Schizosaccharomyces pombe: one gene and its partners. The protein of the gene in region 1 interacts with the protein of each later gene in a pairwise test. Each region holds a gene or a part of one and is shown in the gene's direction. Other genes may lie near its edges. The genes, in order: rho2, rga6 and rga4.

Region 1 (9,223 bases):
ATGCATCAACATCCCCGGTTTCAGATGTCACTTATGTAAACACTAAATTAGTAGATTTTATATCTTCTGTCCTTCTAGAGGAGAATCAGGGTCTTGCTTTGCATCAGTTAACGCTAAAGTTGATAAATATTGGCGAATCTTTTCACTCACTTCTTCCAATTAATCTACCTTATGAACCTTACGTTATTGCTAATTATGTGGAGCGCCAATTAAGGAGTTATATATCTGATACTTCCTCGAGCAAGCAAAGTTTATTATCTTTAAAAAATTCTTCGAATGGTACCGTTTATGTTTCTACAACTTTACCATGTCCCGTAGAGTTAAAGCCAAATATCACTGCTATAGACACTGCTGAGCGGAATTCTTACCTGTGGGGTATTTTACAGCCTCCCGAACCTTCAGCTGAAGGTCCTTTTACTTGGAATGGCGCTTCATCACATGAAGGAGACATCAATAACAATGATACTGAACTTGGTCTTATAGAGAATCCAATGAATCTCGAGACCCCGAAGATAGATTACGCTACTCCACATATTAAAGAATCTAATACCCCTTTGTTTACTTATAATTTTAATATCTCTGGATTTGACGGTGATTCATGTATCGAGAAATTTACTCCATTAGATGCATTAGGTATAAAACCGTCCCCTATAGACGTGGATGCTCATTTTCAACCAGAAATGCTTCCACCTCTTTTTGAAACCTTTTCGTAGCACATTGGTATTTCTCTTGAAACTGCTTTCTTGAGTTTGTCGTCTTCATACCGTTATGTTTACTAATTATGATTTTAATTTATTTGATTATTTCATTTTAAGTCTTTCCGGAAATTTAGATTTGCATTTGATTTAGATTACCTAATTTTTTCGAGTTTATCGTAGACCATAAGGTCATTACTAATTTACTGACTTAATAATTTAAAATAAGATCAATTGTGATTTTAGCAAATTAATCACTTGATGATACAATTTGCTATTTATTTTTTTAGTACTAAGTCTGAATTGATTACTTCAACTCATGGCGTAAGCCAAAATCTGTGAGTTAGATAAATTGAAGTAAGTAAACAGCAGGCTACAATTTGCAGTTATTAAAATTAAAATAAAACAAACGAAATAATTAAAATATTTATGTACACAAATCTTAACAGAACTAGATAAATTGCCTTCTTTGAAGGTACTTTTTAATCTGTCCAAGTACGATTTCCCCAAGGAATAGATTGGGTAGATGCATTAGGAGTAAATGCGCCCAGCGCAACGCCCCATGGACTTTCGGGAATAAGACTTTTATTGGAAGTCGACCGAGATATTTTCCAGGTGTTTTGATTAAACGCGTTTAACAACTCATAATTATTAGGATTACTAGATTCATCTCGTGACAGACCAGAAGTGGTTGAATTAGAAGCTGTGATAACAGAATCTGTTTTGTCATCTAATAGTGCACGACTACCCATCCTTTCCTCTGTGTTGGACAAATTATTCTTCAGCTTAGGAGAACTCCCTTGACTAGGACGACAAATAGGAGATAGCTTATTTCGGATAGATGGTGACAGTGAGAAGTTATACTGCTCATGTCCTTGTTGATTTAAGACGCCTTCCTTGGATAACGGGGATTTCAAACTTGAGGACGATAAAGGGGAACTAGACGGCTCGTTCAAAACTCTATTTACTAGAGGACTTAATTGTGGACTTGAAAATGAATTAAGCAAAGCTGGTACGTTTGCTCCATTATTCAATGGATATTTATTAGCACGTTGAGAAGGAGGTGTTGCAAAAGGATAATGATGCACCGGTGAATTGGCTCTACTAAGAGAATGCCGAGCATTTGGATTTAATCCAAAATTGTTGGAATTACTTAGGAGTGAAGATGGAGAATGTAAACCATTTGGCTTTCTACCAAAATCAGTTAAGTTTACGGAATTATTAAGTGTTCTATTTAAAGGATTAGGCTCAAGAGAAATTAAAGGGTTGACGGAATTAAAAGATGAAAATAACGAAGAATTAAGCAGATTAGAAGAAGCATTGCGCTCCGATAAATTATTTGTGTTCTTAAGGCCTATGGGAGCTTGCCGCAAAGCATTAGGTACAGAATCTAGGAGATGTGAAGAAAGCTTATCCTCATCGTTTACGAGATCGCCTTTTTTTTCAAAAAGGCCAAGTTGAGAAGAAGTAGTACAACCATCAGAACCCTCTTTAGTCTGATTAGGTGCAAAGAAAGCAGCGATCTTAGCTTCTCTTAATCTCCTTTCTTTCTCTTCTGATTCTTTTTCAAGTAACTCACGACGCCGACGTTCCTCTTCTTCTTTGTCTAATTTTTCCCTTCGCTTCCTTTCTTCCAAAATACGTTTTTCTTCTTCTTCTCTTAGTCGTTGTTCTCTCGCCATTTTTTCACGGTCAGCCTCTTGTTGCTGCTTCTTCAGTTTCTTCTCTCTTTCCTTCTGCTTTTGCTTTTCCTCTCTTTTCTGACGCTCAAGTTCTTGCTGCTTTTTCTCCTGCTCACGCTTCAAACGTTGCTCTTCCCGTTTCTTGCGAGCTTCTTCCTGTCTTTTAGCTTCCAATGCTTTTTGAGCAGCCTGTTCAGCAAGACGCTCAGCTTCGCGTCTTTGACGCTCTTCCTCCTTCGCCAATTTCAATTGCTTCTTTTTATCCCTCTTTTTCTCCTTCTCTCTTATTTTTTTGAGCTCACGTTCCTGTTTGCGTTTGTTCTCCTCCTCAATCTCTTCTAAAAGTTTAGCTTGCCGTTGTTGAGCAACTTTCTCACGATAAGCTTGCAACACACGTTGCTCAAATAAACGGGCAGCAAAAATTTGGAACATCCTGCGTCCTTCTTCCATCCTTTGTTCATCGGTCATTAGATCTAACTCGTCCTCATCTACATCTTCTTCGTCTTCTTCTTCATCTTCGTCATATTCCAACCCGCTTTCGTATAACTCTGGTTCGTGAAAATTGCTATTATCTTCACGCTGCATACGACGCTCAGCTAACTGTTCCATCATTTCTATAAACTTCTTCCCATCATTCTTCAATAGGTCATCCGCTACCGTTAAGATACCTCCTTTCACCGTTAAACTACTCCCGAAGTTATAAAGATCAGAATGATAGCTATTTTTCTCATCTGCTTTAGAGGGATAAGGAGGCTGAAAAGGAGGCTGTGTTTGAGGGGAATGTGAAGTGTCTTCCAATGTCTGATTTCCGTTGCTTATAGAAGTGACGAATTCTTGATTATCCACGTTTTTTTCCTCCAAGCTAGTAGTTTCAATGACTTCTTCATCAACATCAGCATTTGAAGAATTCAACTCGTCTTGGGTTATATCATCATTGAGAGATTTTGATGGTACGTTGTTCAGAGGAATCGATAAAAGCTTAGGTGAATCGGAGATGATTCCTTTCTGGGACTTGTCTGAACCTTCGTCTGAAGCGTTTACAGACTCGGTATTTGCAAGGTTACGTTGAATATTAGCATATTGTTCTAATTCTTCATAGTAAGCATCATACAGTACTTCCAACTCTTCCTCAATTGCTAAACGTTTCCTTCCACACACCGAACAAGAGCATGAGTATTTTTGTTGCTCTTTCATTTTTTGCAAAACAGCTTCTTTTTCGACTTTAACTAACGACCTGCGTTCACTTTCACTTAAGGAAAGCCAAAATTCCCGAATTTGCTCCCGCTCCTCAGTATTCGAACTGCTCCAAATATCTTTGGATTTATTATTGTTAACGTTATTATTCATACTGGCTTGACGCACAGAACCGTTGTAATAAGAAAGCGCTTGCCCATTCCTATAAGTAATAGCAACGTCCGTAGAATAAACTTGTTCAAAATCTCTTTGATCATCCACATTCAACGATGCACTATTTGCTTTTGACTTCTTCTTCTTTTTCTTTTTCCGTTTAGATGAAGTTGACGAACCTAACGCTACTGTATTCAAATTCATATTATTTTGAACGGAGTTCGGTGACATATTGGACGACGTCGCGTCTTCCAAACCAGGTATATGAACTGGAAACTCGGCTTCATCCACGAAACTGGAGGTAGAAAGAATACATTGGGGAGAATGTTCTATGGTATCGTCAGATTCAAGAGTGAATTGCCAATCCGTCGAAGATATTCCTTCGACGTTAATCAACGATGAATCATCACCATTTGCCGAGACCAGCTGCGGATGAGAAATACGAGAATTCAAATTTGAAAGTTCCAAAGACGCTTGATGATCTATGACACCATTATTCGCGCCAACGTCTGTAACTGCAGAATCGGTCCCTGCCGACCCAAGCAAATCCACGTTTGCTTGAGTCTCGACATTTTTCTTGGCTTTCGGTTTTTTCTTCTTTTTATTCTTTTTCTTTGTACCAGAGTTGGGAATAGGTATAAGAAGATCCTTGAAACTTGGAGGTTCTAACCCTACACTGAGTGCTTCGGTGCGAAGAGCTTTATCATTCATGTTTTCTTTTTAAAAATCGCCTACCAACAACGCCTCTTTTTTTATGAGCTTAAAATATGAAACTAACGATTTAAAAAAAAAATAATTTAAATTATTTTTTTTATTCAAATTGTAGCTCACGGGTCTGCGTTGGCAATGTTTTAAGGGTAATCCCTAAAATTCTTAAATGCCGAACTGCCCACCTTTTCTTAGTTCAATATTCAAAAACAGTATACCCCAAAGTACTTGAAATAGTATATCTTCTTAGGGATTTCAACCCAGATGATCCAAATCACAAAGATTTTTGGATTTAACTAGTTCAATTGCTGCTTTGCAGAATGTGGTGAATAAAGCCAAACGGCAAATGGCGTTTTATCATATTTAATGCATCTTAACGTGCAAAATTAGTTCTTTAAGGCATGTTAAGGTGCAATAAGGAAGCGTACGATTCCAATAAATTGAATTTACGATACTTAACACCAAAAGTGTCTATAATCCGCATGGGATAAATGTCACCAAAACCACATTTCTTGAACAAATACTCTTTGAGAAGCTAATTTTTGTGCATATACTACTTTTCGTTGCTCTAATTGAAAGGCTTGGACGTTTGGCTAATCGCTTCATTTGACTATTTCGACAATCGCTTACTCATTTCTTATATTTCAAAAATTCACACCTATTTGGTTTAATTTTTACAGCTTTTCGAACCGGGAAATTTTGGTTGTCTGATCTGCAGTGAATCATTCTTTAAGAAAAATTTGCATAGAAAAAACCTCATACAGTGTTTAATCCGCTCCCTATTAAAAAGTACATGTTGCAATCTCAACCGATTAGAAGGTACGATTCTATGGCCTAATATCTTTTTGCTTCTTTTATTTCTTCTACTCAAATTCATTTTCTTTAAATATTAATATTTTTAAGGAAACTAGTAGTTGTAGGCGATGGTGCCTGCGGGAAGACGTCTTTGTTATCCGTTTTCACTTTGGGATATTTTCCTACTGTAAGTACAGATGTCATAAAAGTGAGCTTTGGCTTATCGCATATTGCACGATACGCAAATACTTATTGTCTTTTCTACCTTATTTATTTATTTATTTACTAACTTACTGGCGATAGGAATATGTAATGCTTTTTTCTCTTTATTTCGTAGAGTTTTTTAATAACAGTTACTATAGGTTCCGACTGTGTTTGAAAACTATGTTTCAGATTGTCGAGTATGTGTGATTAACAAGTTATTGAGCTTTTTCAGTTGGTTACAGAAAGTTACTTTCCCACTGGTCCCTTTTCTTTGGGTTTTGCTAATACATTTGATACTAACTAAAATAGGTTGATGGAAAATCAGTTCAACTGGCATTGTGGGATACCGCGTAAGTACTTTTTTTTCTGATGTTAAAACTATATGTTATGTATTCCTGCATACTAATTCTTGTTTTAGAGGTCAAGAGGAATATGAGGTTTGTTTCGTTATTAATAGTGAGAAATACGTCGTTAACCCAATGCAGAGATTAAGACCAATGTCTTACGCTAAAGCACACATTATTTTGGTTGGGTTTGCGATAGACTCTCCTGATTCACTTGAAAATGTTTCTACGAAGGTTCGTTTCATTAATTGTTTTTTCCAGTCATTAACATTATATAGTGGATTGAGGAAATTAATACACTTTGCCCAAATGTTCCGTTTATTTTAGTGGGCATGAAAGCCGACTTAAGGTCAGATCCCGTTGCTATTGAAGAAATGCGACGTCGAAATCAAAATTTTGTAAAATCACAACAGGTATATATTAATAATTCAAACACGTGAATACTAATTCTTGATATCAGGCTGAATTAGTAGCTCAGCGGATTGGTGCGAGAAAGTATATGGAATGTTCTTCATTGACTGGTGACGGCGTGGACGATGTATTTGAAGCTGCTACTAGGGCAGCACTAACAGTTCGGGATTCGGAAAATGACAAGAGTTCTACAAAATGCTGCATCATTTCATAATTACTAATATCCTAACGATTGCAAACATTCATGTTTCAGTTTATAGGAAAGCCTATCAGTTTATGCGACCTACATTTACAAAAAGCTGATAGACTTTTTTGCTTTTCTTCGCATTTGTTCTTTGCCGTTGTTTCATTTCGTTTTCACTTTCACTTCTGTCGTTTACTTTTTTCTTTTTCTCCCCTATACCTCAAATTTAGTTCCTATTTTATTTTGAGACTCAGGAGTATTATTATTATTTTCATCATTATAATCTTCACGCATCGGTCGAACGACACTAGCCTCCTTTTTCATTTCATTAAGCAAACCGCATTCAGTTATTATTACCTTTTTTTTTTACTCTTAAACATCTTTCATTCTTTTTCAGCATCTATTGTCCTCATGAAAACTACTTTTTGTTTAAAAGATCATAGGACTTTATTTTTAGAACTGCCGCTTGCGCTCATTATGAAGTACAAAATTCATATATGTACATATGCTTTTGTTCTCTTAGGCTAATAGAAAATGTCAGTTTTCCTTATTGATACATTTAATACGTAGGCTCACTTCGCTAAGTAATTTTATGGGGCGGTCAAATTCAAAATTCTGGCTCATTTAAGCTAAATATTAAGACACCGCCAAAGGTATACAACCATATCAAAATTTATCACCTACTAAAGTTTCGAGCCTATTTTTTTCTGGGCATTAATGGGTTGGAAATCAAGACTGGCAAGAGTTAAAGTGGTCACTCTCATCAAACAACTATGTGAAATTATATACCCTTTAAACACCCATACTCCAACAACTAACTTTTCTTCGGGCGTTCACTTCATTAAGAACAACAACCAAAAAAAAACAACCAAAATCCATCCAAATGATAAAGAATGACAAATACGCGGCAAAAATCCGGAACTACACTAAAAATTACACATTCCTTTCATTCTTGATCGTAAGAAAGGAAATCGCCAATAAAGAGAGATAAATTCATACTCAAATACATCACAGACAAAGGATATTAAGACCACAGACATATGACAGGAAAATCTAGTAAGCAGACACTAAAAAATAGTTTACCAAAGGAAAAATTTCTATGTTTACCATTCAGCAGCGACCTGTCCTTCAGCGCTACCGTTACCTACATCAGAATGGTTTTGCAAAGGCTGTTGTTCTTCCGAAGCAGCAGGTTTGTCATATGATTCAGTGGGAGCAGATGACTCCATTGATGCTTCAGGAGCAGCTGAATAGGATTTGGAACCTTCATAGGCAGGGGAGCGATTCTCTTCTCTATCACGTCTAGGAGAAGGACTACGGCTATAAGCGTCACGTCGATACTCATCATCATGGGAAGGGCGTCCATCATCACGAGAACGACGGTATTCGTCTCGTCCAGGGCGATATTCATCACCTCTAGGACGACGATACTCATCATCATGAGGACGACGATAATCACTTCTGGAATTACGTCTATACTCATCGCGACCACCACGACGGTATTCATCACGATTATTACGCCTGTATTCACCACGAGGAGCATAACGACGTTCATCATCTCTGCCGGGACGATAAGCGTCACGACGGTAATCGCCTCCTCTACGATAATCATCACGATAACGACGGCGAGCAGGTGGAGAACGTGAACGGAAGCGGGAGGGTACTTCGGGAAGGGGCTCATTAGCGGCATCCTGCTAATCGTTAGAAAATTTACGCAAGGATCTTTAAAAAAGATTAGATGCTTACAGGGTCTTCGCGTAAAGTAACTGCTTGGCCTTTAATGACTTCACCATTAAGGCTCGTCAAAGCGTTTCTCATATCCTCTTCAGTAGAAAATTCAACAACACTGCATTAAAGTTAGGTGAAAAAATGATCAAAGTAGAAACTTACCCAGCACCAGGGTTTTCACGGTGAGCATCTGTGAAAGTGGGTTCACCAGCTTTACGCATTACATCCTTCAGGTCCTATGAAAAGTGTTAACACTGAAATATAGATATATGAAAAAAATCATGCATTGACGCAAAGGTCATTAAATGTATAAAATTGTCTTACCTGCCAACTGACATCTTCTGAGAGATTTTCCACAATCAAACGGAAACCGGTGCGACGGGGACGGGGGTATCTGATACGTTAGTATAAAAATATTGCCGTAATTTTTATAGGACAATGCGATTTTGCAAGCGATAACACCGTATATAGTCACTACTCAGAGCTGATTCACATGTGAAGTGAACAAAATCGTTAGAACCAGCAATCGCGTGCAATGCCAAATCGCCCACTAATCACATATTAATGGAAACGTAACAACGTACTTAGAAGCAGCACTTTCTCTAAAGTTCTCTCTTCTTCTTCTTTCACCGCGAGCAGGTTCTACAACAATACTTCGAACATTAGCATATTTTAATCTAAATTCATAATGTATTGACTTACCGGCTGCCCATAAACTCTTTGCCCTCTTTTTTATAAGATTAGTAAATAAAGTCGAATATTAAACCTTTGAAGCATACGAAAGTCTAAACTGTTAGCAAAAGTTTTAAGATGGTATGAACGTACCATTTACGATATCACGAGCATCGCGAGCGTCTTCAACCTACATCAAGTTAGTCACATAGGGATTACAAAAAGAAGGCTAATGGTTTTATTTACCTCAACAAAGCCAAATCCATTCATCAGCTTGCAATCAAGGATTTGACCGTAACCTTTAAAAAAATCCATCATATCCTCGCGAGTCGCTAAATTTTTGTTAAAATACTATTTACATTATTTAGTTACAAACCTTGAGGAGGAATACGGCCAACAAACAATCTAGTCTCCGACATTTTTTTTTGGTGTAGTTGGTTCTTGCTGGGTGAA
Region 2 (10,424 bases), on another chromosome or scaffold:
GTTCTGAAAAGGAAAAAGACTCCTAGTAGATTATAATTCAAATCAAATCAAACCAATTAAATTCAATAGATCGATGTCTTGAAACATTAATTCCTATAAGGTTGAAAATAGTAGCAATATAACGCAAAAATAGCGAGTCGTAATAGCAAGTAAAATGGTAGTCATTATAAAGGGTTAACTGTATTTCAAGTATAAAGAACGGAGAAAGTTGGAGCAATGGCAATAACACATCGAGGAGTAATTTAGGAAAGTAGTGAGAAAGATGTTAGAAAGGAAATTTAGTAATTTGTAAGTAATGATTTCAGAACTTGGAACGTGAAAGGGAAAAAGATATTTTCATCATAAAGAAAAATTTGCCCATCGTGAAATAGAGAAATAGTGAGAAGAAAACCACCACCGAAATAGCGAGACCCGCAGTATGTTACTTCACGAGTCTCGCTATTTTAGGATTGCATAGGTTATCGGATGGAATCCAGTAAACAAATGGGTAAGGAAAAGTGCGATCAATGATGAGTGGGTTGGGTTACAAATCAATATAGTCAGGTGAAATTAATTCGTTTCTCGATATAAAAGCAATTGAGAAAGGAATTGGATAAAATTTACAGAGAATTAAAAAATGGAGACAAGAAATAAGTGAAATGGGAGTGAACGCTCTTGTAAAAAAGCTATTGAGACAAGTGAAACGGTGAGAGAATGCGTTGACAAATGTGAAAGAAAAGAGAAAAGGGAATGAATATTTATAACAAAAAAAGGTAACAGGATTATCGATGAATTTTGGGGAAAATTTATGTTGAATTGCATGACTTTTTAGAAATCACGCCTCGAATACCGTTAGACATATCATGGTAAACATGTGATTTAGGAATTGGCACATGTAAATGAGGTTGTTGGGTAGAGAGCGGATTTGAATGGTGGTAGATAATTTAGGGTAAATTTGGGATGGATAGAGTAAATGTGAAAATAGTATGTAGGATGGCGGGGGATGCGTGCGAAAGAAAAAGAACGATGCGAAATGAATTGTAAAGTATGTGACTTGGGATGATGCGAAAAAAAAAGAGTCTGGAATAAAATTTGAAGAAGAGAAGAAATACAGTAGGTGGGAGTGCAATGAATTGAATTGGAAGCGAGGAAGCGAACAAAATCGATGGATAACAAGTGAATGAACAACAAAGTGAATTTAGTTTAAAGTCAATTGCTTTGTTGAAAATCAATTTCCTCTGTTTTATCAAGTGTGCGAAGGACAAAGGGAGTAAGAAAGATTCAAAAAAAAAAAAGAAAAGAAAAAGAGGAATTCCTTTTATGAGACATCCAGTTTGTTTGCGAGAACGCCAAGAACTCAAGCGAATATGGAGAGACGACGGTGAAACACGGTATGTTGCATAGTGTAGTGCGGGGTGGATTGCAAGGAGAATGGGTAAATTAGCAAGCGAGCTGGACCCCATTACTGTGATGCATGAGGTAACGCAATGTGCTAAAATGTTTTGGAAAGAATGACACTCTACGTTAGGATAGTGCACGTTGTTGACACTGCTCGTTATGGAGGACAAGGAAGAAACTAGTTCGGCCGTTTGAAGGGAATGGGAATGGGAATTGAATGAAGAAAGAATGGATTGAAGTAGTCAATTGATTAAAAACTCATATTTTTTTGTGTTACTCATTGACCTTTATGAAGACAACAATTCTGGGTTTCCATTGCTTACAGTGTGTTTCCATAGAGCAAAGTTCTTTTTTGATGGCTTTGTTTTTACGTTGCATTACTGTGTTATTCCTCACTCTCTGTATGTGAGTCTCGCGCTGTTTCAGCTGCTTCCTCCTGCTTCCTTCGGTTCCTTTTCCTTTCTTATCGGACGGTGGCCCGCCAAAATTAATTTCGCCTACATAAAAAGTGACGCAATAGAAACTCTCGGAACCAGTATGGACTTGAGGATGAGCGCATCCCGGACCTTGAAAGGATCCTCGTCGATGGTTGATTCGTCAGCTCATTCACATAAGGTTTCTCTAGAAGGTGAATTAGGGTTCTTTCAATCCGAATCCGCCAACCATCACAAGACCTTGTAACCGCCCCGGAAACTCAAATTGTCCCAACTGCCGATCAATTTTTTCCGAAGAAACAGCTTACGATTAACCGAAGGAACGTCCTGGGCAGTCAAGCGCAGAGGAACATAGTGCAAAGCGTCGTAGTTCAGTATAGTCGGACAGCAGAGTATTGTTGAACTCGATAAAGTAGGGGGGGAGAGAGAGAGAGAAAAAGGAGTGGAAAGTGGTAGTAGGTAAATGAGAGATGTCAATAGAAAGCAAAAACTTTATACAATAACAATCTCAACATCAACGATTTTCCTTTTCCAACTGAATCTCTTTTCCAAACTGTGCACTGTAAACAATTGTTCTATATCTTCTCCTTGTTATTCTATGTCTTCTCCTTCATGTTCCACGTCTAACCCGCTCCCTTCCTACCTTTTCGCTACCCTCCTACCCTCCTACCCTCCTCCATCCTCCCTCACAAACAGATGATGTTAACGAGACTTTGCACCTCGTTATTCCCGAGGAGCCGCTGGGATGCCATGAGCCTTGCTAATAGCCCTGTTAGCACGGTCAAACAAAATCATGCAATTCAATGCAAGAATCGTCAGCCTAACAACAGCTAACTGGGCCAACCCTCTAAACATTCCATTCCATCTAGGCATTGGAAACGCCATTCCAAGGGCGGATTGATGGATGATGGAAGGGACGAGACTGACACACACAGCAGATATACTCGATGACTATTAGTGAAGTGAGTCGATGAATAGTGAAGTAAATGAACATTTTTATAGAATCAATAGAAATGGATTGAATCCAATTGCATTCGAAATTTCACAGTTGACTTGGATTTACCACTTGTCTCATTTCTCCCACTTGTCCTCTTGATTACTATGCTATGCTATGCTATGCTATTCTCTTCTCTTCTTCTTTCCTCTACACTCATTGTTTACATTTCTTTTTCTTTTCCACCGCCATCCCAACTCATCCATTCCATGCCATTCCATCCTTGCCTCTCTCGTTCCTGTCAAGCGAGGCGAGGGAAAGGTCAACGCAATGCGTCGATTGTTGTATGATTATGAGCCAAAAATATTCGCATGGGAAGTTATCTAGAAGGCCGCTAATTTCATTATCCGATCTGCCAAGTACCGAACACGGAAATCGCCGCTTACGATACCGTCGTTGGCATGACAACTCTAGCGTAAACACATACAATATAAATAGGAGTGGTAGGCCAGTCTGCTTCTTTGTAGTATCAAGAAATCAGCAATAGTACTTGTTTGGTTTTGAGAAATAGCAATCGAATTAATTAGGTATGTGATGCGCTGTGGCATTGGCAAAGCATTGGCTTGGTGAGACATGTGACATGTGTCAAACACCTGCCAAGAGGGAAAAATAGATTGAGGAAAAGGAAGGGATATTTTCTTTTGATATTCTCTTTTAGTTGAAAAAGATGGATTTTGAGCGATGAATTGAAATGAAAATGGTCAGTGAGATTGCCAAGAGAAGAGGCTCTCTGATTTTACTTGACATGACGAAAACATGTCATATCCAGTATGGTGAAATTGTACAACGAAGTCGTGATAAGATTCGTTAGTTTCCGTTTCTTTCGGTAAAGAAGGCTTTATTTTTCGCTTGACGGCAGTTTGGTCAGAAATTAAAATAGACTTGCCGAAAGCGACAAAGCTGCTGTTTTTAGTATACTTTCTTTTCTATTCTTCTCTCAATAATGATATCTTTTCTTTTAATGACGCTCATCGTTTCTTCTTCTTCTTCTCTTCGCTTTCTTCCCTCTCTCGCTTCTTTTTGCCTTTTTCTCTCCTCTTTGATCTCTTCTTCTTACTAACTCTTTTCAGATAACAATGGCAATTCCTAAAGTTGGTATCAACGGTTTCGGTCGTATTGGCCGTATCGTCCTCCGTAACGCCATCCTCACTGGCAAGATCCAAGTTGTCGCTGTCAACGATCCTTTCATCGATCTTGACTACATGGCATATATGTTCAAGTACGACTCTACCCACGGTCGCTTTGAGGGCTCCGTTGAGACCAAGGGTGGCAAGCTTGTCATCGACGGTCACTCCATCGATGTCCACAACGAGCGTGACCCCGCCAACATCAAGTGGTCTGCCTCTGGTGCTGAGTACGTTATTGAGTCCACTGGTGTCTTCACTACCAAGGAGACTGCCTCTGCTCACTTGAAGGGTGGTGCCAAGCGTGTCATCATCTCTGCTCCTTCCAAGGATGCTCCCATGTTCGTCGTCGGTGTTAACTTGGAGAAGTTCAACCCCTCCGAGAAGGTTATCTCCAACGCCTCTTGCACCACCAACTGTTTGGCTCCCCTTGCCAAGGTCATCAACGACACCTTCGGTATTGAAGAGGGTCTCATGACCACTGTTCACGCTACCACTGCCACCCAAAAGACCGTTGACGGTCCCTCTAAGAAGGACTGGCGTGGTGGTCGTGGCGCCAGCGCCAACATCATCCCCTCCTCCACTGGTGCCGCCAAGGCCGTCGGTAAGGTTATTCCCGCTCTTAACGGTAAGCTTACCGGTATGGCTTTCCGTGTCCCTACCCCCGATGTTTCCGTTGTTGACTTGACCGTCAAGTTGGCCAAGCCTACCAACTACGAGGACATCAAGGCTGCTATCAAGGCTGCCTCTGAGGGTCCCATGAAGGGTGTGTTGGGTTACACCGAGGACTCTGTTGTCTCCACCGACTTCTGTGGTGACAACCACTCCTCCATCTTCGATGCCTCTGCCGGTATCCAACTTTCTCCTCAATTCGTCAAGCTCGTCTCTTGGTACGATAACGAATGGGGTTACTCCCACCGTGTTGTTGACTTGGTTGCCTACACTGCTTCCAAGGATTAGATTGCTTCTTTCGATTTATTCCGTCGTCAATCTATATCTCTCTAATCAGCCGTTGTTAAACTCCAAGCTATTCAACTGAACATGCGTTCGGTTTTGGGGGGTCTTACATATGTGCGAACTTTTGGTTTTTTATTCTTATGCTTGTTTTCCCCCTTTTCCTTTTCTGGGGTTTGCTACGATAATGATAGACATGTATGAGATTTTCCTCTTTTATTCCACGTTATCATTTTGATTGCGCTCCTAGGGCGATCTCTATAGCTGACGACCTTTCTACGAAATAGATTAAGATATAATTTTAAATGAATTGTTTTTTCTTCACTTGTTTTTAATGTGTAAAAAATCCGTAAAGTATGTGGTGTATGAAAATTTTGATTTGAAATGTGGTAGTTTATTGGAGGTAAAAAAGGTAGACTGATTTATAAAGCATTATATAGTTATCATAGTTGCTTGTTAGCATTCTATTACCGTTTGCATTTGAGATAATTGTTTTCGTCTTGATGATAGATATTCGCTAAGATGTTTCCATAAACTTGGCCCACGCTTTTTTGGGTGAAGTAAATAATTTTTCAGTCCTTTTGAGGGCCTCTGCTGCCTATCTTTACTGCCCCTATTTGCAAGTTTCTAGAATGGAAGTGTAAGTCAAACGATAAGAAAAATTATATATTAATAGATAGCAATTTAAATTTAGCATTTTCATTCTTAGTGTTCGTTCACTCCACTTTCCAGATCAATCTCAGACCATCAAGTATGATGATGAAAGCGAGTGTTCCATTTAGGCGGTTCTCGCAACTCTTAATGTTTGATACTTAGAGCTGTTTGTGCTTCAGAAAATTATTCAAAAAATTTCATGCTTGCATTTGATTCTTTTCTGGATAACAGCTAATCCTGTTTTTTGTATTTTGTCCTTTGGTTTTTTGATACCGCATTGCTAGTCACATGTACCCTCATAAAAAATACAGTTATATCTAAGCGAGAAACAATCGCTCGATTGCGAGGCTCATCTATGGAACTGTTTATACTTGTGTCTCATGTTCCAATAGCTTGAAAGTGTGTTTAAGCATGAGATTGTTATTTAAATTATCAATTCATATAGTAACAATATCTGCTTTGGTGCCAAACATTTGAATTCCTTACGAACTAATAATAAGATTGCTTCTCAGATTTCTCAGTGGAATACTTCCATTAGTAACTGCACCATGGGAGTTTGAAAGCTGCTGTCTTTCCTTAAATTACAATAGTCCGTGTAGAAGATGAGTTTTTGGTTCGTTCAATATGTGACTACTTGTTCACCTATCTTTCGCTTCGGCTCGTACTCTACTTTTCAACGCCTGCTACTTGGCTGAACCTCTTAGTAAGTAACGGATGTAGAACGGTTCTTACCAAAGCCAACGTCTCTCTAATCGACATTTATTTCAAAATTCTATCAGTGGAGAGTATATATTGAGGTTTATAGCTTTTACGGGCCTCGAAAACCTCGTGTAGTAAAATTTGAAATTGTTGGGAGAAGTATGACCTTAAATCCTTCGACTCTCAACAATGGAACTCTTGGGGACCTGAAAGAGCACAAGGATGTCGTCTTGTCTAGCAATGCGCAGACCGATGAGAAACGTTTCGAAGAACCGTCGCTAGAGGTGGGAGGATCGTTAGCGAAAGTGGAAAATGGCCTTTCCACATCAATTTCATCATCTGCAAGCAATTTGGAGGGACAGCAAGCTCCTTTCTTTACTAAGCAAAATTCGTGCTTGTCACGCTTTCGTGAGCTAGCTCAGACTTACAACATACACGAAATTAATCTCGAGGAGTACGTTTCCCAGATAAAAGAGGTTAAACAATCTCTGTACTCCGACGATAGCGTATTTAATGAATCCAAAAGTTCTTCACCTCCAGATGCTCATACTGATAAATATTTCACTCCATGTGGATCCCCTACTAAGCTGATACACTCGACACTATTGGAAGAGAGAGATACTCCGTCCTCCCTAGAACATGTTAGCTTTTACCTTCAAGAAAGCGCAGTATCAGAAGTTCGGTTTGATAAACCTTCAAACAATGGTCCTCTAGGGAGGTCATCCCTAAATCTAAGCTCCCTTTCACACGAGTTACAAACTTCACAAGATTCTCCCTCCTTGTCGGCTACGAATCAACTATCCTCATCAGATACGTTGGAACCTCTCCAATACCCACCATCTTCATTTGGCTCTCAAAGACAGTTCAATGCCTCTCAAGATTCTCCAAAGCGAAGCCCTTCCAAGGGATCTTGGTCCTCTATCCTCCGCCGCCCCTCTCTTACTTACTCTCCAAAACGTCAGTCCACTGGCTTGCATCGTCGTTCTTTAACGAATTATTTTAAATTTCCTCATCGTAATGCACATCAACATAATGCAATTGCTCATAATCCTTCCGTATTTGGTAAACCTATCGGCGATTTAACGTCAGATCCCACAAATCTTTGCAAATTTACATTTCCCACTCCTGAATGTGCACCTCCTTCTTTGTTGCTCCCACATATTTTTGCTCAATGCGTACATTTTCTATCTTTAAATGCTTTGCATGTACCGGGAATTTTCCGCATTAGTGGTTCTGGTCCCGTAATAAAAGCAATCACAGAATACTTTTATTCTCCACCTCATTTTTGGCTTGATGAAACATCAGAAATTTTTAAGCGTATTGGATTTCCAAGTTATATCGATATAGCAGCTGTCTTAAAACGGTACATTATGTTATTGCCAGGTGGCCTTTTTACGCATAAAGATATATTGAATCTTTTAGTACCATTATACGTTGATTCAAGTAGAGTAAAGGTTCCTATAGACATCCGGAATGAAATGGCCGCTCTTTGCTTTTCACAAATAGATTCTTACGTGCGCTTTTCTATCCTTTGCTCTCTACTAGCATTATTGCATCAAATAGCTACACGGACTCAAGAGTTGGAAAATGGAATGGAAAATACCAAAGACTCTACTTTGATGAAGCCGGAAGCCCTTGGTATTATTTTTGGTCCTTTATTGTTGGGTAACTCTTCTACTGATCTTTCGAAATCTTGTCCTTCTGGAAATGTGAATGACCTTATGAGATTTGAAACCGAAAAGGCTAGAGTTGAAGCCAAGATTGTAGAGGGACTGATTATTCACTGGCCAGAGGTACTACTTAAAATCAATTCTCTCGACATACCCAATTGTTTTTCTGATGTTGGGTTAACTGACCAAGTTGCTATTTTTACTCCTGCAGTCCCGAAAGAAGATTCTCCAGAACAGATACCTGAAAATGTGAATGCATCTGAGGAAAGTTATCCTAATGTTAAGCATATCTCGAAGCTTCCTTTAATCAATGACTCTTCCGATAATGAATCGGGTAACCAAGAAAATGATGATGCTGTAGCAAATGAGAGTACCAAAGTCGTTGTTGACAATCAACAGCCCCAGCCTAAGATTTCCACCGTTTCTGATACTGCTGTTCCTTCCATGAGTTTTGCTAATAACATTTCATCGCGGTCGGTTATTTCAGCTGCTACAGATAGTAAACCGTCAACTCGCACATCACCGCCATTCGTGAACAATACAAAACCGATCGTCGCAAAGTCACCGGTCACTGTTACTGCTTCTTCGGAAACCAATAAAAAATCGCAGAAGATTAATAAAAAGGCATCTCCAAGGGTCAGTTTGTGGACAAAACTGTTTGGTAAATTCCGATCAAACAAGAAGAAATCTTAAGAAAGGATTTCTGTTTTCGGTGTCATTTATTTATCATATATTACAACCATTTGTTTGCTCTTAAAGTTTAGGTTCATTTTGATATTTTTTGGTTTCATAGTAGTATTTATTAAGATATGCATGTTAGTTTTTCCATGTCACATGTTTTATTCAGGTGTTGAAGGGATAAGTTTATTATTTGGAATCAACTACGGACGAACTTTTATCATCTTCTAAAAAACTAATCATTAATAAAATGTGATTCATGTCATTAAGTCAAATAGACTTCCGAACTGGCAAACGGGGTTGAGACGGTAAAAATATAAAGAGATGAAGGGTAATATAATGTGCCAATAAAAATAAAAATTAAGAATCTGTGTCCTGTTCAATTAAATGCAATGCCCGGCCAGATAATAATATAACATCGCCTTCACCATCTTCATACTCTCCATTATTAGCATCTCTAGCAACTATGTCATTAAGTAATTCGATGATATCGTCGCTAGATTGTATAAATGCAGTTAAACGTGGAACTATAATGAGTTAGCTAAAGAATATATTCCGTATATCGTGTGTAGACAAAATCGTCAATAAATTCTCTAAAAAAAACTTACCACCAGCCTCTAGTAATTGTACAATGGTCCAAGCAGCAATATGGGCAAAAGTAGAATCTTCACTACTTAAAAACCTGACCAGATAACCATGAATGCCACCAGCTGGAGAATCCCAACACTCTATGAACCGGCTATAATCATCGACATTAGAAGAAAGATTACCCAGAGCAGCCGCAGAGTTGCCTTGGACTTCAATCGACATAGAGTCTGTCAATGGGATTAAAACATTACAAATACCAAAGTTAAGAAGATACGACTTGAATTCGTCACTTAAAGCAAGAACGGCTAGACAGGCAGTCATTTCACTTTGCACGCTAACAGGAGCATCTAAAATTAAACAGCGAAGTTTTTGAATAGCATTAGCTTCGATAATAGCGCGCTTATTTCTCTCCGAGCTAGCAGCTAAGTTTCGTAAGGTAGAAACAGCATGACACTGTATTTCTTCATTTTCCGTACAAGATAATAAATCCACCAACGGACGAAGAAAACCAGCATCAATTATCGGAGACTCATTTAAAGGATGTATAGAAATGTTACGGATACAGGCAACGGAAGCAAGTATTAAAGGAAGGTAGGAAGAACGAAGCAATCTTAATAAAGAGGGTAGGGCATTGCTTTGAACAATTTCTATTTGATAACGCTCATCAGAGGCAAGGTTTCTTAATGCTAAAGCAGCTTGGCACTGGACTTTAGGACTTGAAGTATCCATTAATTGAATAAGAGAACGAACGAGTTTCGGCTCACTTTGGGCAAGTCTTTTACGGTGTACTGCATCAACAGCAATATTACTAATAGAAGTAGTACAATAGTATTGAACGTCAGTGTCAGAGCTAGGAAGCAAAGATACTAGCACTGGGATAGTACCAGCGCTGACAAGTTGCTGTCGATTTTCATCTAGTATCATAGTTAGTTGATATCCATAGATTATGAGACAACCACTAATTGAAACTTTTTGCTCAAAACAAAGCTCAATAGATTAACAAATAATTAGCGACAAATGTATAACTTACATGAGTGAGTCATGTTTAACAATGCTCCAGTTGCATTTCTTTGAACTCTAATGTCCTTGCTTTTGGCAAGACGGGTAAGAGGGCCCAAGGCACCAGAATGAGCTATTTTTGATTTATTTTCGTCAAGGGTAGCTAAATTAGTAATGCAACCGACAGCATTGCATTGGACTTCAACGTGAGGAGACATCATTTGACGAATTAAAAGGTCTAATCCATTCAATT
Region 3 (11,026 bases), on another chromosome or scaffold:
TGCCTAAGCTGTTTGTTTTTCATTAAGATTAGATTTGCACTAGAATGTTGAATAGTCATCTCATCTTCTGTAACAGGTGGTAAGTGTTCTACTCGCACTTCGACATCGTCAACTGGAAGTCTATCTTTTAGCCAATCCGAGGCAAACAAAACTACTCCCGGTTTATTCATATGAACATAATTGTAATTCGAATCCATTAATTGTTTTACTGATTCCAAGTAGGAGACTTATGGTGCTTTTATACGGTTGGTGTTATTGGAGAAGTCGGTGGTAAGTGTGTAAACAAAGCATTTAGCAGCAAAGTCTACTAGTTGGGGGGAGGGAGATCTTTCCATGAAAATCAATTATAAGAATTCTAGATTAATTTCTTATTCACATAATTCTATGAACTTTTAAGTAGAAATAAAAATCAGTTAGGTGGTTTGCTACTATTCTTCTCAAAACCTTCGTCTCTTAATCTATTTATTCCTATTGGCATGTTATTTTTCTTGATAAATAAGGTAAATATATGTGCTTGCTTAGCTTACAAATTTCAAAGAATGACACTAATAGTGCAATGTTTTACTTAAGCTATGATTGTGTCCAAAACCCTAGCAATACTGACAGAGTTATAATGAAAAATTAAGCGTATATTTCACAATCATATAATCATATTCCCCCTTTTCTGAAAAAATGTCAATGGCAAATCATATACTGTTTTGAGTTAAAGAGGCTTTGGCAGATCATAAATCAGCCATCCTAATTAGTAAAAAGAATACAAAATTGTGATGGTTATGTTAAAAGTATTCCTAGTCATTAGTGCATCACCTTAGAGTCATGTGCTGTATATATATATGTGTCTACCTTTGCATAAACAAACTTGTATTCCACAGTCAAACTAGTACAATACACATCGTTCTGCGAAAACGTTCTGTTTATTTTTCAGCAAAAAATTAAAGTTTAAGCTATCATTCATTGCCAATCGCATATCAATTCCAAGATTTATTCATTGTTTATTTACATTTGGAAGCTAAACAATAACTTTCACGGAAGCAACAACACAACCAACAACCAACCCTTCAGAAGTAACTTTCGGAATAATTTTGTATTCAAACCTATATCGTTTATCATTCCTTTGGATTTCTTTTAATCTTTCTTTCGAACACGAAAAACTTACTCTTCACTAAGCTTCGAAATTTCCAATCAAACGATTTAACAATAAGAAAATTTTGTGCTTAAAATCACCAAAATGGATTCTCATGTTTTAGCATTTCCAATTCCTGATCCATCTACACCTCCTCCCGAAGAGGCATCCCTTTATGCTAGTAAATGTGACTATTATGAAAGCGATATTTACTCTCAAATTAGGAGATTAACCGAAGAAAAGTGCATTGAGACAGAAAAAGAGTTGCCAGTTAATATAAAACTACATGTCAAACATAAAGGAATGAGCATATCATCTTCCCGCAATGAACTAGTGGTTACTGTTTCAGGAAATTATAAAAATGTGTACACTGCAAAAATAAAGATTTTGCAAGCCATTCCCAAAATTCTAATCAGCAAACTTGTGCTCGAAGAACCCCTCGAAAACCTCCTTTTTGATGAAGATGGGTACGTTTATGAAGACACTATGAAACATTTGGACAAAATAACGGAAATAACGGGAGCAAAAATTTATATCATGCATCGTTCCATGTGTCATGATATCGATTTTCAGCTACGTACTGACAGCGGATTCAGCAATCGATTAAATGAACAACAAAGCTTCTACCAAAGGCATTTAGAGTCTACTAGGCATGAATTTTCATGTCAAAAGAACGCAGAGAATTCTTTTTTTATTGTCTTTTATGGTGACTATTGCAGCGTTGAACATGCTAGAATTCGCGTATTAGCATTAATGGATGAAATCAGAGGATTATCGGTAGTAGCTATTGCAACTTCTGTATCTTTTCAGCCAATTCTCGTTGGAAAAGCATTTTCTAGTACTGCCGGAATGAAGGCTACTGAATCAATTAATATTTATACATTACCGTTTTGCAGCGACTCAATCCCTCGGCTTCAAACCTTACCCGCCTTAAACTCAAGTAAAATAATTATTACAGGAGAAGAGGAAAAATTGCAAAGACTCGAAGAGGCGTTTTATTACGCAGAAGAACATCTAAAACTGTTTACTCACGTAACAGAAATTTCATTTGTTAAGCTTTTCGAATTTCTCGCTTACGAAATGGATGAGCTTCGGCTTATTATGGAAGAAAATTCTTCGTTTATTCGCTTTCCTGAGTATTTCAAAGAAGGAGGAGAAACGAGCCCAGAAAATTCAAAAGTCAAAATCTACTCATCTTCTATAGCGAATTCTGAAAAAACAGCACTCCGATTGGCAAAGCTTGCAAGTAAATATGTACAAGGAAAAACTCAGTTTGGAGTTGAAGACAACGAAGACTTTCTGAGAGTTGCTGGTTCTTGGAGAAGAGCGTCTACAATTGAAAAAGGAGTTTCAAGCTCTGAATTGTCCTCTATTGTATCCTCGACTGGCTCCATAGTGGAAACAAATGGAATAGGAGAAAAAATGTCATTCTCTCCTCTTAAGAAGCTAAGTATTCCACCAACAGAATTTGTAGCTCAAATTGCAATAATTTGCATGGCTTCTGGAGTCGAAATGCTCCTAAAAACCAATGGGATTGAATATTTCGGACAAGAAAACACCGTGCCTATAGCAATGGATAAAGCAAGCAAAATATTTTATAAATTTGGACAATCCCAATGGCACCAGATACTGCTTGAAGCCCCAACCAAGGATCAAGATTTCATATCCGGTAAAAAAAATGGAAAACTGGATAAGGTAAAGCAGCAATGCCGTTTCAACTTAAAGAATGGGGACATCTTGTTTTGTCCCCAGTCGACGAGTATATTCACGGTTGATATATATAGTGACGAATTGGAAAGAGTAATTAAAGGAATGAACACAATGTTGCTTGAATTTCCAGCTGAGATGCACTTTTACGTTCCAGAGGAGATTCACAAAAAACTCATTGGATTTCGAGGAGAGCAAATCCAACGTGTAACTAAACTTTATAATAGTTACATTGAATTCTCAACTACTCCTTTTGACTGTTACGGGCACAACGTGCTCATTCGCACACCATCAAAGTTCTCCGAAAATTTGTGGGCCGTCCGATCTTTATTCATTAAGACAGCTGAAGGATTAGGATACGACATCCCGAAGTATTTGTTTGCTAATTGAATTTTAAGTCAGAATCCAGTCATCGACCTGCCCATAGATCACCACACTTTCTCGTTATATTTTTTATGTCCATAACAGACACTCAAGCTGGTTATTAAATTCGGAAACTAAATTTTTTGAAAATCAAAAGTGCTCCACTGTATCAACTTTGATACACATCTTAAGTGCACAATATAATTTAATGAACGTGATCCACGCAGAATTTTGAAGCACATGACAAGTTTAAACTTTAAGCAGTTCAACGATTTGTGCAGGACGGCAACCACTGTTCGTATGCCTTTTTTATTTCTTATTTTGTTAATAAATTGTCATTGAAAACAAAAGATAAAACGTCGATAAACACAGCTAGATTGATATAATAACAACAAACATCTTTTCAGTAAAAAGAAGTAGAAACTGGCACTAACCGTTATTAATCAACTTGCTATACGCTGTGACATCTAACACTCTTTGACCAGTTAATTAGAATCGTATTTGATGAGAAAACGATATTGAGTTAATCCATCCACTTTCTTTGGAATGCATGATGATTAAATTAGTAAATTAAAGAAACAAAAAGGGATTACACAAGAGTTGTTAAACATAAAGACGTCGTTCGACTATAAAAAAAGACGTGTGAACCGTAATGCACCCTTTGCGGTTATTGGGTTTCTTCGGTTTTTTTTATACAAATTATATTACGCTTAACTGAACGAACTAATCAAGTAGCACAGAAACAAGCCACTCTTATTTTTTCTCAAGAGTCGAGCAATACTTCGTTCTCGCTGACAGGATTGCTAATAACACTAACGAAAGATGAACAGGGGGAATGTTGTATAGTTCATTTTTAGTCGTACAATAAATCTCGATAAATTTGTATAAGCAATATCATTTTAAATGTTTCAAAATCTCAAAATAATATGAAGGAAGCAACCATCACTTACACAAAGTATGAAACATAAGGAAACGATATAGAAAGAATCTGGAAAATAAGCAAATATTAATAATAGCTAGATCGAAACCTGGTGGTTTATTCGCTGCAAAGCCATAGCGGTAACAAAAGGAACAAATGCCAGTGTAGCCTTCTATATAAACAAAGGTCCTATTCTTTGACCTCCACCACAAACGGCTACGAGTTTAAAAGAGCTAGCAAATGTTGTAAAGCCTTGGTATTTTTATTTATTTTTTAATCAAGAACAAACTTTGAATAAAACCGTAAAGAGTTTTCTATCTTAGCTGCCGCTCATTTTTTGAGCTGGTGTAATTTACCTATCCATTCTCTTGGGAAACACCTTTCTTTTAATTTTCAGAATATTGATTTCCTTATGAATTCGGGTACGACACTTCATCTGGACAGACTTAGTTTGGAGACGCCATCCGAACGTACTTGTTTTTGTATTAAATGTTGGGAAGTATGTGAGGTTCAAAATTTAATCGCCGTGTCCGGAGAGCGGTCTTTTCACAAAACGAGACCCTGTCTTGAAATTGGACACTGCTCTTTTATTTTTTCCCAGCTGTAATGAACGGCATTTACTAACTTTTGCTCTAGAGTGTTCCCAGTACCTCTCAAGTTTGGTTCGGTGGGAAATGTTGGCATTCCGATTGGTATGATTGAAAATGCAAACGTTGGGATTTTTGGATCTTTTTTTTTTCTTATAGATTGAATAAAAAAATATAAAATGCTCCAAAGATTACCCTTGTTTGTGCTTCTTGTTGTTTTGATTTACTAATTAAGACGGTTTGCTAGTTTTAAATGTGTGAACTGCAACAAAAAATTAGACCCTTCCTCTGAAGATTTTTCTCAAGACGATCAAAAGCAAATATTCTGTAAATTATGTGTTGATATCTGCAACGGTTGCTCAACTCCTATTTGCGAGTTCAACGCAGTAAGCAATAGTCAAGCTAATCATCCTTGTTGCTCCAATTGTCGAGCTTTCATTAATTCAAATGCTTTTGGCAAGTTCAAAGGTCAACATTACTGCCTTCCTTGTTTGCGTAAACAAGATGAAGAGAATCAAAAGGCTGTTATGGAAAGCGCATCAGGGTTTATTCCTCTTAGGAATATCGCACAAACTGCGGAAAACACTTCTTTAACTGGTAAGTTTGTTGCTTATGTAGTATTTATTGATATTGTCTTTATGTTTCTAACTTTAATTTTAGGGCAAAACCAAGGCTTTCAAAACCCGCATTTTATAGCGTCTGATTCTCCATCCTCCGTATTATCTGGTCGAATGCAAAATACCAGCTCTCCTACAAACTCTCTCCGTCCTCAATTAAAAGTTCAAACTAATGGTTATGAAACACCTGGTGATATAAACTCCGCAAAATCTTACAAAGACATCCAAAAGGACTTCTTACTTAAACCCAAAAATTCTTTCGTTAAAACCTCTCCCTCTCCACTAGCTAATGGTCCCTCATTTCGTTCAGCTAATGCCTCTCCATTTGATTCGTGTGACTCTTTTCATTCTGGAAGTTCGATACCAATTGAACCAGTTTCTTCAAGGCAAAGCTCAGTAGTAAATAATAATAGCGTGCAGCAACCTGTTGCTTATCACGCCTTTGTTCAATCACCAACCGAAAATGGTACGCTTCCTCAACTTCCTAAAAATGAAAGCGTTGTTAATCCTCCTCCACTTCGCCGCTCTTCTACTATGAATTACAAATCTGTTTCGACAACAACATCACCATCTAAATATGGATATGTGTCTGGCAGAATAGCTCTATCTCCTATCCATTTAAGGGGTGCTCTTCGTGATGTCACAAATAAATGTAATTTAAAGGTTCCTAGAAATCGAAACAGTTTATCTAATCTTGACGAATATTACGTTAACGGATTGGAAAGCGACGAAACTCCTACAAAGGCTAGATTTCCTAGATATCCTACGGTATTTAATAAGTTAGATGACAAACGACTTAGTAGCGAACCAAACGGCTTGAAGAAAAGATTGACGAACTCTTCAAATTATGAGGCTTCCCCGCGGGCCAAAAGTTTAAATTTGTCGCAAGTTAGTTTGCATCAAGCATGTGAACCTGAATACAATCGAAGTTCTTTGGTTAGAGCAAGTGATGTGTTTACTTCAAACGTATTTGATGCTACAGAGGAAAGCGCAAATGAACTCGCCATTCGTATTTCAGAGCTTCAAGCTGAGGTTGGAACCTTATTGTTGGAAGCGACTTCGTTGGCTTCTATCATAGAGCAGCAGACTCCCGTGTCCCCCGAAGCTTTCAAGCAAGAGTTGGTTGCAGATTTAAATTATAGATTAGATTATTTACGGAAATCTTTTCAACCTGAACTGTCTACCTTACTTTTGAGGCGAGACGCTTTGTCTACGACTGTCTCTAAATTGCAAAACGCTTACAGCACTGTAATGGAAGAAACCGCATATCTGAATGTTAAGAACACAGAACTGGTAAGCCTTAACAATCAATTGGAGAGAGAATTGGCATACTTGAGGGAGCAGCAGCATAAGAAGCGAACTTCTTCCTCTTTCGGAATATTTAATAATGATAAAAAATCCAACCGAACGATTTCAACCCCGTCTCCGCGAGAATCGTTTTCGCGTCTACAAATGGTTGCATCTAGCCTTGGATTTAGACCCAAAGACAATAAAGACAAGGAGAGTGGAGGGTATAACAAACGGAACTCTAAAATAGATCTTAAGAAGTCATTTTCTAAACGGTTTCATTGGAAAAGAGATTCTCCTCACATGTCGAGTACTCCCAGTATTTCTGAAGAACATTTAGCTTCTGAAGAACAAGAGGATTTCGTTCCAGCGGTCGGTCACTGCAAACTTTGCGGTAAATACTCCAATGAGCTTAGAGCACATTATCAGGATTGCGTTAGTTCTACTATAGATCGTCAGTATCAATCTAAAAAAAGCGAATCTCCTGTTTGGGCTTTGAATCCTGACGACTTCGATCAAAACAGGCTAACACTCTTGAGAGTCCCGACGCTTATCGTTTCTTGTATAAATTTTATCGAGTCATACGGCATGGATTTTGAAGGTCTGTATCGCAAATCAGGGGCAACTTCTCAAATGAAAAAAATTGTTGCGTTACTAAGAAATGAAGATACGGTACTTGATCCAAGTGAGGATATTTCTGCTGTCACTTCTGTATTCAAGCAATATCTTCGCAACCTTCCTAATCCAATTATTACCTATGACCAATACTTTCCGTTCATCACAGCAGCAAATTGTGCCTCTTTCCAAGATAAATTAGACGGTTTTATAATGGTCATCAAAAGTCTTCCTCCAGCTCATGCTGAAATTTTGCAGCTCATTATTAGACATTTAGCAAGGGTTGCTGCATATAGTCATGCAAATCGAATGACATCCAAGAACCTTGCAGTAGTATTTTCCCCAACATTAATACGCGACCCCGATAATTCCAGAGACGTTATTGACATGACTGTTAAGAATTACAGTCTTGCGTTTTTGATAGATCATGTACATGAAGTCTTTGCCTAAATTCACACTATCCTTTAATAATTCGCTCTTTTGTTTTGCACGTTCCTTTATATTCTTTATTCGTCTTTTTTTGTTGTTTTAGTAGTTGTACCATAACTTTGGGCAGTTATATCGAGATTCCTTTTTGCATTTGCTAAGATAGTTTCATTTTTGGTCATTTTTAGATGTCATCGTGAAATCAGTGGCAGATGAGTGTTTTATGGATTTGGCGTATAGCTTCTTCATAATGCATTATCACTGCAGACTGACATCCATCGCTTTTATTTAATCATTTCCCTGTTTTAGTCTACTTGGCATTACTCACAATGCTAGGCTATGAATAAAATGCAATTGCATGTATAAAAAAGGAGAAATTTGTATTTTTTTTTAATTTTATTATGCTTTCAAGGATTTAAAGAAGCATTTTTTCCCAAGATCCCTAACTTAGGAAATGCTAGTGCAACGTATTGTGAGTAAGTGATTTTGTAGATATATCATGCCCATTATCTTAATGGAATTCTAAAAAACCAAAAGCAATTCCTATAAACAAAAATTATATACGTTATATGGTAAATTTTTTGAAGGGGGTTAAATAGAGTTTCGAACGTCTAACAAAAAACCAACTCCTGTTTTACTACCACTTTTTTTTGAGAAAAGAGGGTCTTTAAGCAGGATATTTTATTATCTATGTGAACAAAATTACGGAATTTTACTAATGGCAGATGTTATTAAACGATGCATTTTGGGCCCGACTGAAGCCGGCTGGTTCGTCGCAAAGTCTCAAATAAAAAAACCAGTTGACCAAAGACCGGTTATCCTAACCCATTGTAAGCTGCACAGCAAAATGCTAGAGCCAAAGGCGATTGTTTATAAAAAAAATTCATCTGCAATTCCTAAACGAGTTGACAACATTCTTCTTCGAAGTCAAAAGCCCAAACATATAGAATGCCTACTTGTGGACTCTAAAATCACCAAAACAAGGAGCCTTTTGAAAAGATTTGGAAGCTGTCTTGATGAAACTAGTACCATTGTACTTTTAAATCAAAGTGTTTCCTTGTGGGAGGATTGCTACAGTTTATTTCCAAAGACTGAAACCAGACCGCGAATATACCTTGGCAGGTTCCAAACTCTATTCAAATCTTTTCCATTTAATTTAATTAGTGATTCTTTCAGTTATCGTCTCAACCTTAGCAAACTTCCTCGTACACCTTTGGAGAAGTGTACGGTAGCTAGAGCCTGTAAACAGTTTCCGTTAAACCAAAGGTCCCCTTTACTTGACTTGATGGGTTCCTTTGAAAGGGACTATGTAAATTTTTCAAATTTTTCACAGATGCTTTCTGCACAGTTATGTGACTCTATGGCTTTTTTAATTCAAATTTTTCCTACTCCATTACTCAGGCAAAAAGCTGCGAATGCGTGGATCGAAGTACTTTCTAAATTACCATATTTCCATATTCTTGATAAATCATTTTTTTCTCCCCACTTGTTACTTCAAAGCTCTGAAAATCAAGCATGCAAATTTTTTAATATTGGTCCTCAAGTTTATTTCGATCCTAGGGAAAGATTGCTTCATGTTAAGGAGTTACTGAAGTTCGCTTTAAAGCATATTGACAGTAATGATTCTCTATTTACATTCTTAAAGCAAACTTGTTATACTTGTGATTCGCCTTATGCTAAAGTGTTTCAGCCCGATAAACAGTCGTTTCATAGCATAATTTCAAGAAAGCGTCTTGCTCATCTTGAAAAGGAATATTTTGATAAGGATGTATCCAAATTAGTGCTTTGATTTGATATGAGGTGAAAAATTGACCGAACATATTCCATCTACTGGTAATTTAACTGTTCAATCCGTTCTAATAAATTCACCATAATTTCGAGAGAAGGTTGTTTTCAATTTTTTATGTTAAAAAGAAAAAGCAAAAGAAATCTAGGGATAAAATATCGCTAAATTTAATTCTTAGCCTGATCCAAAAGCTACTGAAGACTACTGTATCTCAGATAAAGCATTGTCAATTATAACCACTCCCCCATGATGTTTCATTCTTAGTCACTCCTTTGTTTATCTTCGAGGATTCACTCATCTTTCAAATAATTTGAACACCTATACTTTGTTGAGATTGCAAACAGCCTCTATTACCTTTTTATTGATCATAGATCATTAACTTGAAAAATGTTAGTTATAAATAACATAAAATATTACTAAAATCATTTCATTCTCATCTTTTTTCACGGTTTTCCTTTTTAGGTAACAATTTATTGTCACTTGAAATTCATGAAACTCGAGTGTATAGAAGTTTTCATTTCTACAATTTAGGCGTTTCGAAGATTAAGTTGTTGTGGCATAGAATTTCTTTAAAAGATTACTTCTTAACTTTTAGATTGAAAAGTAAACCAACAAGCAAATCATTAGCCAAATATGTCTACAGCTGAACAATTATTTGGGGCCGAAGAAGAAGAGAAGTACGTTGACCAAGATTTGAGTGAAGATGAAGAAGATGAACGATTTTTAAAAGCTATTCGTTCCTCAAGATCAACAAAACCAGTTGTAGACGTTTTAAAGGTCAAATCTGAAAGCTCCGCCGATGAGCTTGAGGAACGAGATGCCCATCTTGATCGCTTCCGGAGAGATTCCACGTTCGAGTCTGAAACTTCAGACCATGAAGACTTTTCAGGCGGCTCTGAAAATGAGCTGGATGAGGAGACCACAAAAAATGCAAATTCTATAAAAAAAATATCACTTGAAGAAGTTGAAAAGCAAAGAAAAGCTATTAAGCGTTCAGGAGTTATATATCTTTCTCGTATCCCTCCTTACATGGCACCAAACAAGCTTAGACAAATTCTTTCTCAGTATGGAAAAATTGGAAGGGTATATTTAACACCTGAGTCATCAGCTAAGAGGGCACAAAGGCTGAGAAATGGCGGAAATAAAAGAGTAATGTATGAAGAAGGTTGGATTGAATTTGAAAGCAAACGCGTTGCCAAATCAGTTGCAGAATTGCTTAATACAAATCAAATTGGTGGTAAAAAGAGCAGTTGGTATCACGATGATATATGGAACATGAAATATCTTCCTAAGTTTAAATGGCATCATCTCACTGAACAAATTGCTGCTGAGAATGCCGCCCGTGAATCTCGCCTGAAGGTTGAAATTGAGCAGGGTCGCAAGCAGTTAAAACAATATATGAGAAATGTTGAAAATGCCAAAATGATTGAAGGTATTCGTAAAAAGCGAAGTGAAAGAGATACACTCAATGTCTCTACAGAGTTTCCTGAAGAAACAAAAGACTTATCAGAAGATACTAAGCCAAGCAAGCAAGCCCGCCGCTTCTTTGGTCAAAAAAGCATTGTCAGTAATCGTAATATGCCCACAGACAATGCC

Evidence for each region.
Region 2: the proteins of rho2 (region 1) and rga6 interact in a two-hybrid assay, tested with the Schizosaccharomyces pombe proteins (one study listed by BioGRID).
Region 3: the proteins of rho2 (region 1) and rga4 interact in a two-hybrid assay, tested with the Schizosaccharomyces pombe proteins (one study listed by BioGRID).

Annotation. Positions count from the first base shown.
Region 1 is NC_003424.3:4,417,777-4,426,999, forward strand, and holds rho2 (Rho family GTPase Rho2), read left to right. Parts: upstream 1-4,914; 5' UTR 4,915-5,225; coding exon 5,226-5,251; intron 5,252-5,335; coding exon 5,336-5,414; intron 5,415-5,530; coding exon 5,531-5,536; intron 5,537-5,589; coding exon 5,590-5,628; intron 5,629-5,740; coding exon 5,741-5,781; intron 5,782-5,849; coding exon 5,850-5,868; exon of another isoform or gene 5,869-5,916; coding exon 5,917-6,009; exon of another isoform or gene 6,010-6,053; coding exon 6,054-6,188; exon of another isoform or gene 6,189-6,235; coding exon 6,236-6,400; 3' UTR 6,401-6,870; downstream 6,871-9,223. Other genes in the region: SPOM_SPAC29E6.09 (uncharacterized protein), read left to right, coding at 1-713; protein nst1, read right to left, coding at 1,178-4,435; srp2 (guard protein for 5'-capping of pre-mRNAs Srp2/Npl3), read right to left, coding at 7,474-8,061, 8,117-8,216, 8,261-8,334, 8,423-8,492, 8,683-8,751, 8,801-8,825, 8,878-8,883, 8,924-8,960 and 2 more. UniProt on the Schizosaccharomyces pombe protein: Involved in cell morphogenesis, the maintenance of growth direction, control of polarity and of cell wall integrity. Regulates the synthesis of alpha-D-glucan through activation of pck2.
Region 2 is NC_003423.3:574,850-585,273, forward strand, and holds rga6 (Rho-type GTPase-activating protein Rga6), read left to right. Parts: upstream 1-6,295; 5' UTR 6,296-6,397; coding exon 6,398-8,599; 3' UTR 8,600-8,944; downstream 8,945-10,424. Other genes in the region: glyceraldehyde 3-phosphate dehydrogenase Gpd3, read left to right, coding at 3,882-4,889; protein Vac8, read right to left, coding at 8,945-9,111, 9,193-10,086, 10,203-10,424.
Region 3 is NC_003423.3:1,835,099-1,846,124, forward strand, and holds rga4 (Rho-type GTPase-activating protein Rga4), read left to right. Parts: upstream 1-4,317; 5' UTR 4,318-4,524; coding exon 4,525-4,611; exon of another isoform or gene 4,612-4,748; coding exon 4,749-4,804; exon of another isoform or gene 4,805-4,946; coding exon 4,947-5,296; exon of another isoform or gene 5,297-5,359; coding exon 5,360-7,668; 3' UTR 7,669-8,089; downstream 8,090-11,026. Other genes in the region: anaphase-promoting complex TPR lobe accessory factor Apc13, read right to left, coding at 1-197; SPOM_SPBC28E12.02 (BICC1 family RNA-binding protein), read left to right, coding at 1,229-3,220; protein Cbp7, read left to right, coding at 8,363-9,433; U3 snoRNP-associated protein Esf2, read left to right, coding at 10,064-11,026. UniProt on the Schizosaccharomyces pombe protein: GTPase-activating protein for Rho-type proteins.